3 linked regions of the Rattus norvegicus genome follow. The protein of the gene in region 1 purifies or fractionates together with the protein of each later gene. This does not show direct contact. Links are inferred from orthologs where the notes say so. Each region holds a gene or a part of one and is shown in the gene's direction. Other genes may lie near its edges.

Evidence for each region. Proteins that work in one complex are often made in the same cells at the same time.
Region 2: the proteins of Slc9a6 (region 1) and Mblac2 purify together in Homo sapiens (co-immunoprecipitation; 3 studies listed by BioGRID and IntAct, counting the BioPlex papers as one, with this or other methods). This does not show direct contact. The link is inferred for Rattus norvegicus from reciprocal best matches to the Homo sapiens genes SLC9A6 and MBLAC2.
Region 3: the proteins of Slc9a6 (region 1) and Clgn purify together in Homo sapiens (co-immunoprecipitation; 3 studies listed by BioGRID and IntAct, with this or other methods). This does not show direct contact. The link is inferred for Rattus norvegicus from reciprocal best matches to the Homo sapiens genes SLC9A6 and CLGN.

What each region holds. Positions count from the first base shown.
Region 1 is NC_086039.1:139,466,473-139,471,049, forward strand, and holds the start of Slc9a6 (sodium/hydrogen exchanger 6), read left to right. Parts: upstream 1-1,572; 5' UTR 1,573-1,604; intron 1,605-1,624; exon of another isoform or gene 1,625-1,645; coding exon of another isoform or gene 1,646-1,804; coding exon 1,805-1,973; intron 1,974-4,577. UniProt on the Homo sapiens protein: Endosomal Na(+), K(+)/H(+) antiporter. Mediates the electroneutral exchange of endosomal luminal H(+) for a cytosolic Na(+) or K(+).
Region 2 is NC_086020.1:13,761,943-13,765,197, forward strand, and holds the end of Mblac2 (acyl-coenzyme A thioesterase MBLAC2), read left to right. Parts: intron 1-1,396; coding exon 1,397-1,782; 3' UTR 1,783-2,616; downstream 2,617-3,255. UniProt on the Homo sapiens protein: Acyl-CoA thioesterases are a group of enzymes that catalyze the hydrolysis of acyl-CoAs to the free fatty acid and coenzyme A (CoASH), providing the potential to regulate intracellular levels of acyl-CoAs, free fatty acids and CoASH.
Region 3 is NC_086037.1:41,619,530-41,623,630, reverse strand, and holds part of Clgn (calmegin precursor), read left to right. Parts: intron 1-1,479; coding exon 1,480-1,621; intron 1,622-4,101. UniProt on the Homo sapiens protein: Functions during spermatogenesis as a chaperone for a range of client proteins that are important for sperm adhesion onto the egg zona pellucida and for subsequent penetration of the zona pellucida.

The sequences.
Region 1 (4,577 bases):
AGCCTTGGAACAAGCAGCTATGCCTGAAGGAGGAACCACTTTCAGGTGTTCTGCGGGGTGTGTGTGTGTGTGTGTGTGTGTGTGTGTGTGTGTGTGTTCCAGCTGGGTTTGAAGAGACCACACTGGGAACTCCAGGCATGTTCCTTGTCTGGGTTACTTGCCTGTATAAGGTAAGGTGCCCAGCCCTATGTGAACAGGGAAGTACAGTTAGACAGGAAGCACAGGAAAGGAGGCAGGTGGCCATGATCTTCTTGGGAAGATACACAGTTCCAGCTACTAACAGGAAGAAATGGGCCATTATTGATGGGAAAAATTCCTGGCCAGTCACACAGAACAACCTTTCTAGAGTTGTTTGATTTCCCTGAAGTTCGCTATCCTCCCAGTGCTTAAGCAGTTTTGTTAACACAGAGGCATCCACACCAGGGTTGTTTGTAGTTGTTCTTGGGTGATGCGGTCCTGAGATGAAAAGGTTTCACAATGTAAGTTATATCCAAAGTGGCAGGGCTGGGATAGATACTCGTCCTACTGCCATCATGAACGCTTTGAGGAAGGATGTCTATTCGGAGGGGATAGAATCAGCTAATTTGGAGGATATTCTCAATACCCAACAGTAGAGGCCTTAAGGCACAGTGGCAGGCAGGGCTTGAGACTTGTAGCTTATTCATGTAGAAGTGAAAGTCTAGATAAAAAGAAGCCCAGGTCACTAAAGGAGCGAGCCTGCAAGTATGGGAGTTTTTGAAAAAGTTCCCAAACATAGCTCAGCTATGGAGGTGAGCTGTGAAAAATCTTGCCTTGTGAGGTCTAGAGGGATATGCAGAGATTACTCTTTGAGGGAAAGAGAAATGACAGGTAGGGAGTCAAATGTGACAGAACTGGTGCCATTTGCCTTAAAGTAACAATAAAAAGAAAACAGGGGAGGGAAGCACCCTGCACCAGCAAAGATTTCTTCCCCAAGGTTTCTGAGGAAAGGTAAATTTGAGCACAAACTTGGTTGCCTATTCTTTGCAAGGCTGATGAACCTATGTATTCATTCCTGGTGGTGAATGACATATATTAAGCATTGACATTCAGAGAAAACCCAATTATACAGATACATACATGATCCATGCCTTTGTGTGAGTTCCTTTATGAACTCTTACAGTGTTACTTCCCCAATAAGGGCAGAATAAGGGGATCCCGATTTAAATTACAGAGCTGGAGATTGAGGCCACTCCCTTGGGGACAACTTCATATGCTGTTAAGAGACACTGGGGGATGATATCCAGATGGGTTTTGAAGATCGATTTCTGCCCCCTCCCAGCTGTCAGAATAGAACCCAAGCAGAGAGCGCAACCTGCGTCTGATTACACTGGCCCCATGTTTCTTCAGCGGAAAACAGTGGGTTAGATTCATTAAGTTTTCACTTTGGGACTGAGCTTGAGCTCTAGGCGTGCCTGTAGGTGGGCAGACAAGCCGAAGAATGGGGACGCGCGGGCGGGAGTAGAGGCGGCGGGCACTTTAAGAGTGGAGGCCCTGCTGGGCGGTGCCTGCACCGCCGGCTCGGCTGCAGCCCCGCCCCTTTCCCGTGAGCCCACGGGGAGTGGTCCGACCACGGGCGGCTGCGGGTGAGGAGAGGGGCGGGGGACAGGGGGGTGGGGGGGAAGACATGGCTGTGGCTCGGCGCGGCTGGCGGCTGGCGCCCGTTCGCCGTGGCGTCTGCGGGCCCCGGGCGCGTCTGCTTATGCGGCCCCTCTGGTTGCTCTTCGCAGTGAGCTTCTTTGGCTGGGCCGGGGCTCTGGACAGCTCTGGGGGAACGACCAGAGCCATGGACGAGGAGATCGTGTCCGAGAAGCAGGCGGAGGAGAGCCATCGGCAGGACAGCGCCAACCTGCTCATCTTCATCCTGCTGCTCACCCTCACCATTCTGACGATCTGGCTTTTCAAGCACCGCCGGGCCCGCTTCCTGCACGAAACCGGCCTTGCTATGATTTATGGCAAGTGTCTCGGACCCCTGTCCCCTAGCTGGCACTGTCCTTTTCTCTGCCTGCTGGTTGCTTCGCCTCCTGTCCTGGTCCTCCTCGGCCTACATTCTGCCCCCCTTCTCATTTCAATTTCTGCCTCGCCTTAAATCGTCCTCCGTTTCTGCCTCACCCCCCTCTATTTCTGCTACGCCCCCCATTTTTCCTACCTCGTTCTCAGCCTCGCCTCCCCATTTTCTCTGGCTCTCCTTGCTCTTTTCGCCTCCGACCCCACCCCCTTTTCCTCTGCTCCCTGTTGCCCCTTCCCTGCCTTCCAAGCTGGGGACCAGGACGGGTGGGTGTAGAGGATGGGAACGGGAGTCGGGTGCGGTGGACGGGATGGGGCTGGGGGCGGGGAAGACATCTTTGCAATCTCCGTCTCTGGGGTGTCAGTTTGGTTAAGGTTCGGTGAAGCTGCAGTAGTAGCTGTGCTGCCAGCATCTGGCATTCATTTGGAAGCAGAGTCGACCTTTTACTTCTTGCCCAGCTTTTGCTATGCCGCCTTTCTAGGCGCAGATGATAATCTTACTCCAGTGGAACCCACACAAACTAAAATCCTGAAGTAGGCTACAGAATGTTTAGGGCATTTTAAATGCCGTTCTAATTTATTATACTATACCAATAATACCTGACAGGGAGCCTTAGGGTTGACCCTTCCGATTCAGGTGTAGGAAAGTGAGGACTAGGAAGAGTTAGGGTTCTTCCAGCAGCATCTTACTTACCATCTGATGAGAACTGGTCAACCAAGTAGTAATTAAGAACCTTCACGGATATGGATAGGGGTGACTTGCTGTTGGCATGGGGTTATTGATCAGATTGCTGTGTAAATGATTTTGGTTCTTCAGTCTTACTGTGCTTTCTTTTGAGATTATCTGTGTGTTGGGGGAGGGACAGATGATACATGGGGGCGGGGCAGAGGAGAGGAGACAAAACCCAAACCATGGGCTTAGAAGTCTTTGCGCCATTTCTCCAGTCTTGTGAGGGGAAAAGATCTTGCTGACAGTCTCCTATCTGCCTAGGAGGGCATGGCCTAAGAGATGAGGGTAGACAGACAATCCATTTGTACAGTGCATGTGTGAAGATTATCTTCATTTGCTACAGCCCTGAATTATTAAGCTTGTTAAGGTCTGTTTCTGAGACTTGAAGACAGGTATACGAAGGCTTGGAGCTAAAAGGCATTTTCCCATGCAGCTCCCACCCACTTCCAGTAAATCCAGACTTCTAGAATGTGCATGCACATCAAGGGTGGCAATAAAAGGTAGTTGTAGGCCTGAGGAAAATGCATGGACTGAGGCTCCCTTTCCATTAAGGTAAGAAACTCTAAGCATGGGGACTAGAATGTTAAAGATGACACTCAATTTGTAGTGCCCCTTAAGTCTAATTGGTCACATACAAGCTATATCTTGTCCAATTTCTCCATGCGACACTGTATTGACTTGTCTACTATCTTCAGCAAGCGTAAGCTGGTTAGTTTATTATATTATGTACAGGAACTATAGACATGTAGGAACTTTACGAAGTAAAGACAAACCATAGAAAGGATATAACAACATTTGAACTTTGGTTAAATGCAAATGAGCCTTATATTGTTAAAATAAAGAACTGATCATAGATAATCTCTTTCCTATTGAGAGATATGGTAGCGGTACAAGGCTTTAGACCAGGATTGGCATTTTTAAAGGGCTCGATAGTTAAGACTGTTGATTGTAAGGGTCATGTATATTACATTTTATTCTGTTTTTTTTCTTCTGCAAACTTTTTAAAATGTAAGAAACCAGGACTTAAAGAGAAGGATCAGTGGGTAAAGGCACTGGCCCCAACACTGTGGCTCAGAGCCATCTATAACTCCAGTTCCAGGCACTATGGGCAGCACACACACATGGTACACCAACATACATGTAAGCAAAACATGTGTCCACACACAGTACACATACATTTAAATTTTCTATCTTTATGCCTTTAAAAAGAAATGTAAAAACCATTCTCAACATTTGGGCCAGGAGAAAACAGACTAAGGCCTGAAGCTGCACAGCCCTTGAGAGTCAGCCCCAGATTTCTGTTATACTGTGCCAGTAACTCTTCATGATCTTAGCAAGGCCCTGCTCATCTCTACTCTTATCTGTGTATTGGGAATGAATTATGAGAACTGCTTTCAGCCTAGTCCTTGAGTCCCGAGTAAATACATGCTCAGTAAATGATAGCTGTTCTTGTTGCTGTTATAGCTCCCAGGGTCAGAAAAGTCTTTTTCCTTACTTAGTCTTACAAGACACAAACAGTATTTTTTTTAATCAAATAGGACTTTGGACAACCCTGAAAATGTTTGTTCTTTGCTATCTGGTGTCTCAAGTAGGAAAACACAGGATTGCTGATGGCCTTTGCTAACACTTCTAAAACGAGAATGAATAGTGCCTTAGCGGTAATATTCTATGAGGGAACAAGCATATCACTTGAAAAACACGACATGCAAGAGTGGTTGTCTGGGAGGCAATCCTGGGATTGACTTGGCATTCCACAGCTTGTCCCACTTTCTCAGCAGAAATGACGACGGGTTATAGAATATTCGTGTTCCTAACTCCCAAA
Region 2 (3,255 bases), on another chromosome or scaffold:
AAGGCAGCATCTTTGGAATTGATGACATACTTAATGCTTTATAAAACAAGCATTTAAAGTAATTTTAAATACTGCTTTACCAGTTTCCACAAATTTTGATGTGTTTTGATTTCATTCAAATTACTTCAACCCAGGATCCTTCCTACTTCCTTTTTGCTGTCCTAAGCTGGGGAGAAGTATGGTGCTGGCCTCTGTGGTTATTTCCCATATGCATACGTGCTGTCTCTTTAATTTTCTAATGTTTTTGTTATTTAAGATGCACTCTAAATTATCTGCTTCTTCTTTCTTTTTTTTTTTTTTCTTTTTTTTTCGGAGCTGGGGACCGAACCCAGGGCCTTGCGTTTGCTAGGCAAGTGCTCTACCACTGAGCTAAATCCCCAACCCCTGCTTCTTATTTCTAATTGTGCTATTTCTAATAATATTTTAGTTATATTGTGGTCAGAAGGTATATTTTGCATTTTATTCCTTTAAATTTATTGAAATTTGTCTTATGTATTAGCATTATAGGCAAATATAATTTTAAAAAGCTATCTCTCTGTGTATAAAGTGTTTCTTATGTGACAGTTATATTAAATTAATCAATGTGTTTTGGTCTTCTGTACTCTGGTTACTTTTCTCTTGTTTTTGTTATTTATTGATCTATTTTGGTCTTTTTTGAGGTAGACTCTCACTCTGTAGCTCAGGGTAACTTGAAAGTCACTGTTGCCCAAGCTGACTTTGAGTTGTGGCAGTTCCCCAGTTTCACACATACGCGCGCACACACACATACACACACACACAACCACAAACACACCACACACACACACACACACACACACACCACAAACACACACCACACACCACACACACACCACAAACACACACACACACCACATACCACACACACACACCACATACCACACACACACACCACACACACGCACACCACGCACACCACACACACCACGCACACCACGCACACACCACACACACCACACACACACCACACACCACACACACACACGCACCACAAACACACACACCACACACACACACCACACACACCATACATACATACACACACACACACACACCATACACACACATGCCCACACACATCCCACACATACAGACATACCACATATGCACACACATGCACACCATACACGCATACCACACACACACTTATACACATACATACACAGCACATGGCACACATACACACCACAGACACACACACAGAGAGAGAGAGAGAGAGAGAGAGAGAGAGAGAGAGAGGAGAGAAACATAACATGAAAATAAAGCTAATGTTGTCTTCAAGTTTCCTTGAAACCCTTTAATGCTCCTCTGCTTTTGTCAATGATTAACATCAAGTAGCCTGTCAGGTATTTATTGGTAACTTCTGTTTCTATTTTAGGGGATGTGATCAACCTTGGCGACAGACAGCTCACTGTTATGCACATGCCAGGTCACTCCAGAGGCAGTATTTGCTTACATGATAAAGACCGCAAGGTACTCTTCAGTGGTGACGTCGTGTATGATGGATCACTGATTGACTGGCTCCCATACAGCAGGATCAGTGACTATGTTGGAACTTGTGAACGTCTCATAGAGTTGGTGGACAGAGGTCTTGTGGAGAAGGTGCTTCCTGGGCACTTCAATACCTTTGGTGCTGAAAGGCTGTTTCGTTTAGCTTCTAACTATATTTCAAAAGCTGGGATATGCCACAAAGTGTCTACTTTTGCCATGAGATCTCTTGCAAGTTTAGCTCTCCGTGTAACAAATCCTAGGACCTCACCCTAGTATCTACACTGGTCATTTGTTTATATTAACTGTATAAATTAACCCAGTTCCCCTGTGTTGTTGGAAAGTTACTAGTGAGCATTTCAAAAAGTGCTTTAATATCACCATTGTATGTTAGAGAAAAAGAGGATTAAGGAGGAAGAAAAAATAAACAGTCTGAGCTTAGTATCTTTTTCTTTTCTCCAAGGAATAAGCCACTTAAGAAAGCTTGTTATTGGCCAGTGCTGTCTTTCAGAGTGTGTTCTGACCGTGCTGTGGGTGCTCCAGGCAGCAAGGATGCACTTATGCAGCACAAGCAGCTGCCCTTGCCCCATAGTTTATTTCCCTAGATACTGAGGGGAAATGGTATGGGAAATGATTGGGGGGGGGGGGCTCTATGCTTACACTGTAAACTTCATTTTATCTCCGGATTTTATTTAAAGATAAAGTTTCTTGGGTTCAAAAATAAAGTAGAACTCAGTATAAACTAGCATTTAGAATGACAGCTACAACAGCCCATGTTTGTGATTGTATTTCTCCTTTTTTATTGTTAATTCTTTATATAAGTATAAGGCACATAACATGCTATATAATTTAAGGAATGAACAGTACAATGGATTTGTGTCTTACTGCAAAGCTTTAATGTAAATTGCAGAGCACTTCAGTGAAAAGCTACTGTTGTTGTTATTGTGCAAGTAATATTTTCAGTCATGAACATGAAATTCAAATGTATGTTACCTATATATAAATTGTCAGATTTCTTAAAAGGACACTGTCAGGCAATTTGAAAATAAACATATTGATAATAATTTTTTATTATATCCTATTTTAGTATTAATAGATACTATAAACAAATTTTTTTCTGCTTAAATAGCAATTTCACTATTGTGTCATGTTTTACAGTACCCAAAGAACTCCTGATATCTCTGACATCTTGGTGTAAACAGTTCTTTTAATTAATATAACATGTATATGTACCACAGAAGAATATTTAAATTTATTGCAATATATCTCTTATGTATTAACTAGAGCAAATGGCCTTCTTATCCTGATTCACAACACCTGTTCCTCTTCAGTATTCTTTGTCTTAAACAAAAAGTTTATGTTCATATGTCATAAAAACTTATTAAGCCACTATTGAGTGATACTACACAAGATGTTTGGGTTTGGTGCTTTTAATAATAATAATTTATCAAAAAAGCCTTTTGGAATATTTCATAAAAGTTTTTAAAACAGTTTCCCACTACCTTTTTATTATTAACATTGTAGACCAAAGAGGTCTACTTTTGGAAATCAGATCCATCCATACCAGCAGTTCTTGTTTCTGTCAAGTTTTGTAATTTTTTACTCTGCAAACACCCAGGTTCTTTAGGTTTTTATTCCTTCAGTAGACACATGCAGGCGTGCATGTGTGCACACACACAGACACAGGCATGCCACATTTACACAGAGGTACACAGGTCTGTGCTAAACAAGGCAGGATATTTGAAAGTG
Region 3 (4,101 bases), on another chromosome or scaffold:
CATTTATTTTTAAGATGGGTCTTGCTGTGTGGCCTAGGCTGCCTTCAAACCTGCAATCCTCCTGCCTCAGCTATGAGTAATGGTGTGATTACAGGCATGTGCAACGATGTGTTGCTTCCTCCTGAAAATATTTAAGAGTACTTTTAAAATTCCAATAGTTCTCTAGAACAACAAAAATTCAAGCTGCTTTGATCTGGGACTTGTGGTAGATACACTGTTTTTTAGGGGTGGGAGCAGTCTAGAAGCACTAGCAATTTAAACATGTCCATAAAAATCATTGTGAGTTGAAACATTACAGCCAAATAACCATCTTTTACTGAATTGAGTTTGGTTGGAACAGACAAACATATAATTTTCAAAACTGTAACATTTTATATAGATTAAGTTTGGTTTTGTCTTTTTTTTTTTTATTCTAAGACGAATAAAGGGGCAATGTCCAACACAGACCTCTGGGGCTACCGTTAGCCCACCTGGCTTACAGCCTGGGTAGCCCCATGGTCTGACAGCAGAAACCTTCAGATCTGAACAGTGAGATCGCAGCCCAGACCCCAGCTCAGCTTCAGGGCTATGAGTGACGCATGTTGTTTCCTACACACGTTTGCCTCATTCTTTCTTTCTTTCTTTTTGTTTTAATCATTTTAATTTAAGTATCTGGACAAGGCTCTTTCTTTTTTTAAAAAATAATTTTTAATTTAAGTATCTGTACAAGGCTCTTTCTTTTTTTAAAAAAATCATTTTTAATTTAAGTATCTGTACAAAGCAAACTTTGCTCTTGATCAAGAGGGTGACACAGACAGGAAGTGCAGAGTCAGCACTCCTAGTCCTTGTGAGAGGAACCATGATGTTATCACCATTGTTTTATTGAAAGTAGGTCAAGAAAACCTAACTGCGTCCATCTTAGAAGTGTACCTGCCATGTTATTCATTAGTCTTCTGAGTTTAAGATTTGTTTATTTTATATATATATATATATATATATATATATATATATATATATATATATATATATATATGCTGTCCCTGTCTTCATGCACATCAGAAGAGGGTGTCAGATCCCTTTACAGAGGTTGTGAGCCACCATGTGGTTGCTGGGATTTGAACTCAGGACCTCTGGAAGAGCAGTCAGTGCTCTTAACCGCTGAGCCATCTCTCCAGCCCCACTTCTTTTCTTTCCTCTCCTCTCTTCTCCATCCTTCTCTTCTGTTTTTCTTATCATTTGTCAGAAACTGGCTTCATTTTCTTAGTTAACAACAGAGTAATCACATAAATAAATAAATCTTAAAAAAAAAAAGAAGGAAGGAAGCGAAAGGACAGGGAAGGAGAGGAGAAAAGACAAATTCAGGAATCATTTTCTGAAGCGTTATACGATTTTATTTTCTTCATAATCATTTTTCATGGGAAAGGATCTGTGCTGATAGCAGCTGAGAGGTGAAGCTCTGCGTCTTCTGTTGTAGCTCATTTCCTTTGCTTTCTCCTTCAGGAAGATGGGAAATAGAGGAGCTGAAGGAAAACCAGGTGCCTGGTGACAGAGGGCTGGTTCTGAAGTCTAAGGCCAAGCACCATGCGATATCTGCTGTCCTCGAGAAACCCTTTATTTTTGCCGATAAACCTTTGATAGTTCAGTAAGTTTTAAGACTTTTTCATTTGCATTAGCCTGCTATAATTTGCCATCTGAATGTATGTTAGGTTTTGGTGCTGTGTTCTCTCTCTCTCTCTCTCTCTCTCTCTCTCTCTCACACACACACACACACACACACACACACACACACACCACATCACACACATACACACACACACACACCCACCCTTTCCCTTTCCAGGTTCATAGACAAACACATGTAAATATAACCACACCCCGGGCTTTGGGGGGCAAACAGGTTAGTGATAAACATTTGTGTGTGTGTGTGTGTGAGTGTGTGTGTGTGTGTGTGTCAGTGATAAACTTTTACATCGCGTCTCCTATAGGCACAATTCTGGCTCTGTAAAAGGTGGCACGCTAAATGCACGCTCTTATATCAGTTGTTCTAGTTCCATGCTGTTAAGATAGTAACCTTGGGATATACAGAGTAGAGCTAGAAGGCAGGAAATTGGTTTCAGCAGGGAAATGTGTCCTCAGGCCAATGTCCTTGAAGTGTGGAGCTCTTTTTAAAGCCCTGATGCTGTCTGAAATCTCTTCCCCTTGCACTGACTTCAGCCCTGTGTGGTCTACAGCTCCAAGGTCAGGTAGAAATTCCCTACGTGCTCTCACCTACAAAACTCGAAGCCAAGGTGAGGCTCTGAAAGCCACTCTGTGTTCAATCACAGAGGAAAGGACTGAGCATCGTTCCTGCTCACAGGCTGCCTTGGATTGGAAACTCTCCCGGGTCAGTCTGTCCTTCAGAACAGCCGCAGGACCCACAAGCCTGCAGACTCTGGCTCTCTGCCAGTACCGTGAGGAGAGCTACTTCCTGGGTTTGTTGTCCCATTTCGGTAGCCATCCAGTCCTAGGTCAAGACAAGGAGGGTTTGCCTGTTACACGAACTAATTAAAGTAGCATTAGCTACATTGGTACTGCTTATTATTAAGATTTGGTCTGAGTTTTGTTTTCCTTTATAATTGTTTTCTTTTTCCTCCCCCCCCACCATCCCCCGTGGTGTTTGTGTGCAATTATGTGTTTGGGTGTGCAGTTGTGTGTTTATGTGTGTGTGTGTGGGGGGGGGTGGTCTGAGGTCGATGCTGGAAATCATCCTTGACCCACCATATTGACAGACACCGTCTCTCTGTGGTGTGGCTGCTCTCTCCAGTCAGCACTATGAATCCCCTACCTCTGCCTTCTGAGGCTGGCTACTATGTTCACCCAGCATTTACATGGGTTCTGGGCATCTGAACATCTGATGCTTGTGTGTCAAGCACTTTCACTACTGAGCCATCCCCACCGCCCTTCCTTGAGAACTGGAAAGTAGCCGCACTAGTCTCCTAATCGTTAGGCACACAACATCACTCTGTGAGTGCCCCGTTCATTCAAAAAGGGCTGTGAAGAAAACCAAGACAAACTTCAAGTTTTCAGGAGTAAGATAAATGTCATCAGTTTTCAGGGAGAATCACTTTTTTAAAAAAATGTCTTGCCAGATAAGAAGCAAACAAGAAAATACATCTAAAAATTTCTCAAATAACTATGAAATTATGGGGCTGGAGAGATGGCTCAGCGGTTAAGAGCACTGACTCCTCTTCCAGAGGTCCTGAGTTCAAATCCCAGCAACCACATGGTGGCTCACAACCATCTGTAATGATATCTGATGCCCTCTTCTGGTGTGTCTGAAGGCATCTACAGTGTAGTTATATATAATAAATAAATCTTTAAAAAAAAACTATGAAATTATTATTTTGAAAAAATAAAGAGGATCGAGAACTGAACAGCCACCAAATGGGCTAACATGTTACATTAAATGCTTTTAGTGGCACACGGCTTTTGCTGAATTTTGGTGTCTTTTCCCTTCCATGGCCACGTCAATTCGTGTTTGAGCGCGCCTGACCTGAAGTCTGAAATGCTTTGAAATTTGGAACATTTTTTTTAATCTCCATGATTACTACTTCAACTAACAACAGTTTTGTGCTACATTTTCTGTACAATATTTGTTTCAAACCTTAATTTCACACATGAACTCTCTGTGTGGTGTTTTTCATTTAATATAGGTGTTACAGTCAGTGTGGGATGCAGCCTAACATTTCTGCCTTTTTTTTTTTTTCTTTTCTTTTTTTCGGAGCTGGGGACCGAACCCAGGGCCTTGCGCTTGCTAGGCAAGCACTCTACCACTGAGCTAAATCCCCAACCCCCATTTCTGGCTCTTTAAACATTTGTCAAGTCCTTGTCCTGAGACCCTGTCTTCTGGTCCTTTCTTTTTTTTTTTTTTTTTTTTTTTTTTGGTTCTTTTTTTCCGGAGCTGGGCACCGAACCCAGGGCCTTGTGCTTCCTAGGCAAGCGTTCTACCACTGAGCTAAATCCCCAGCCCCATTCTGGTCCTTTCTAGGACGTAAGTTATTGTAGTTGCAGGGGGCCATAGAACTTCCTTCTTTCTGAGTGTATTTTGGTCCCTGGTCTTTCTCCTCCCTCTTTTCTTCCTCT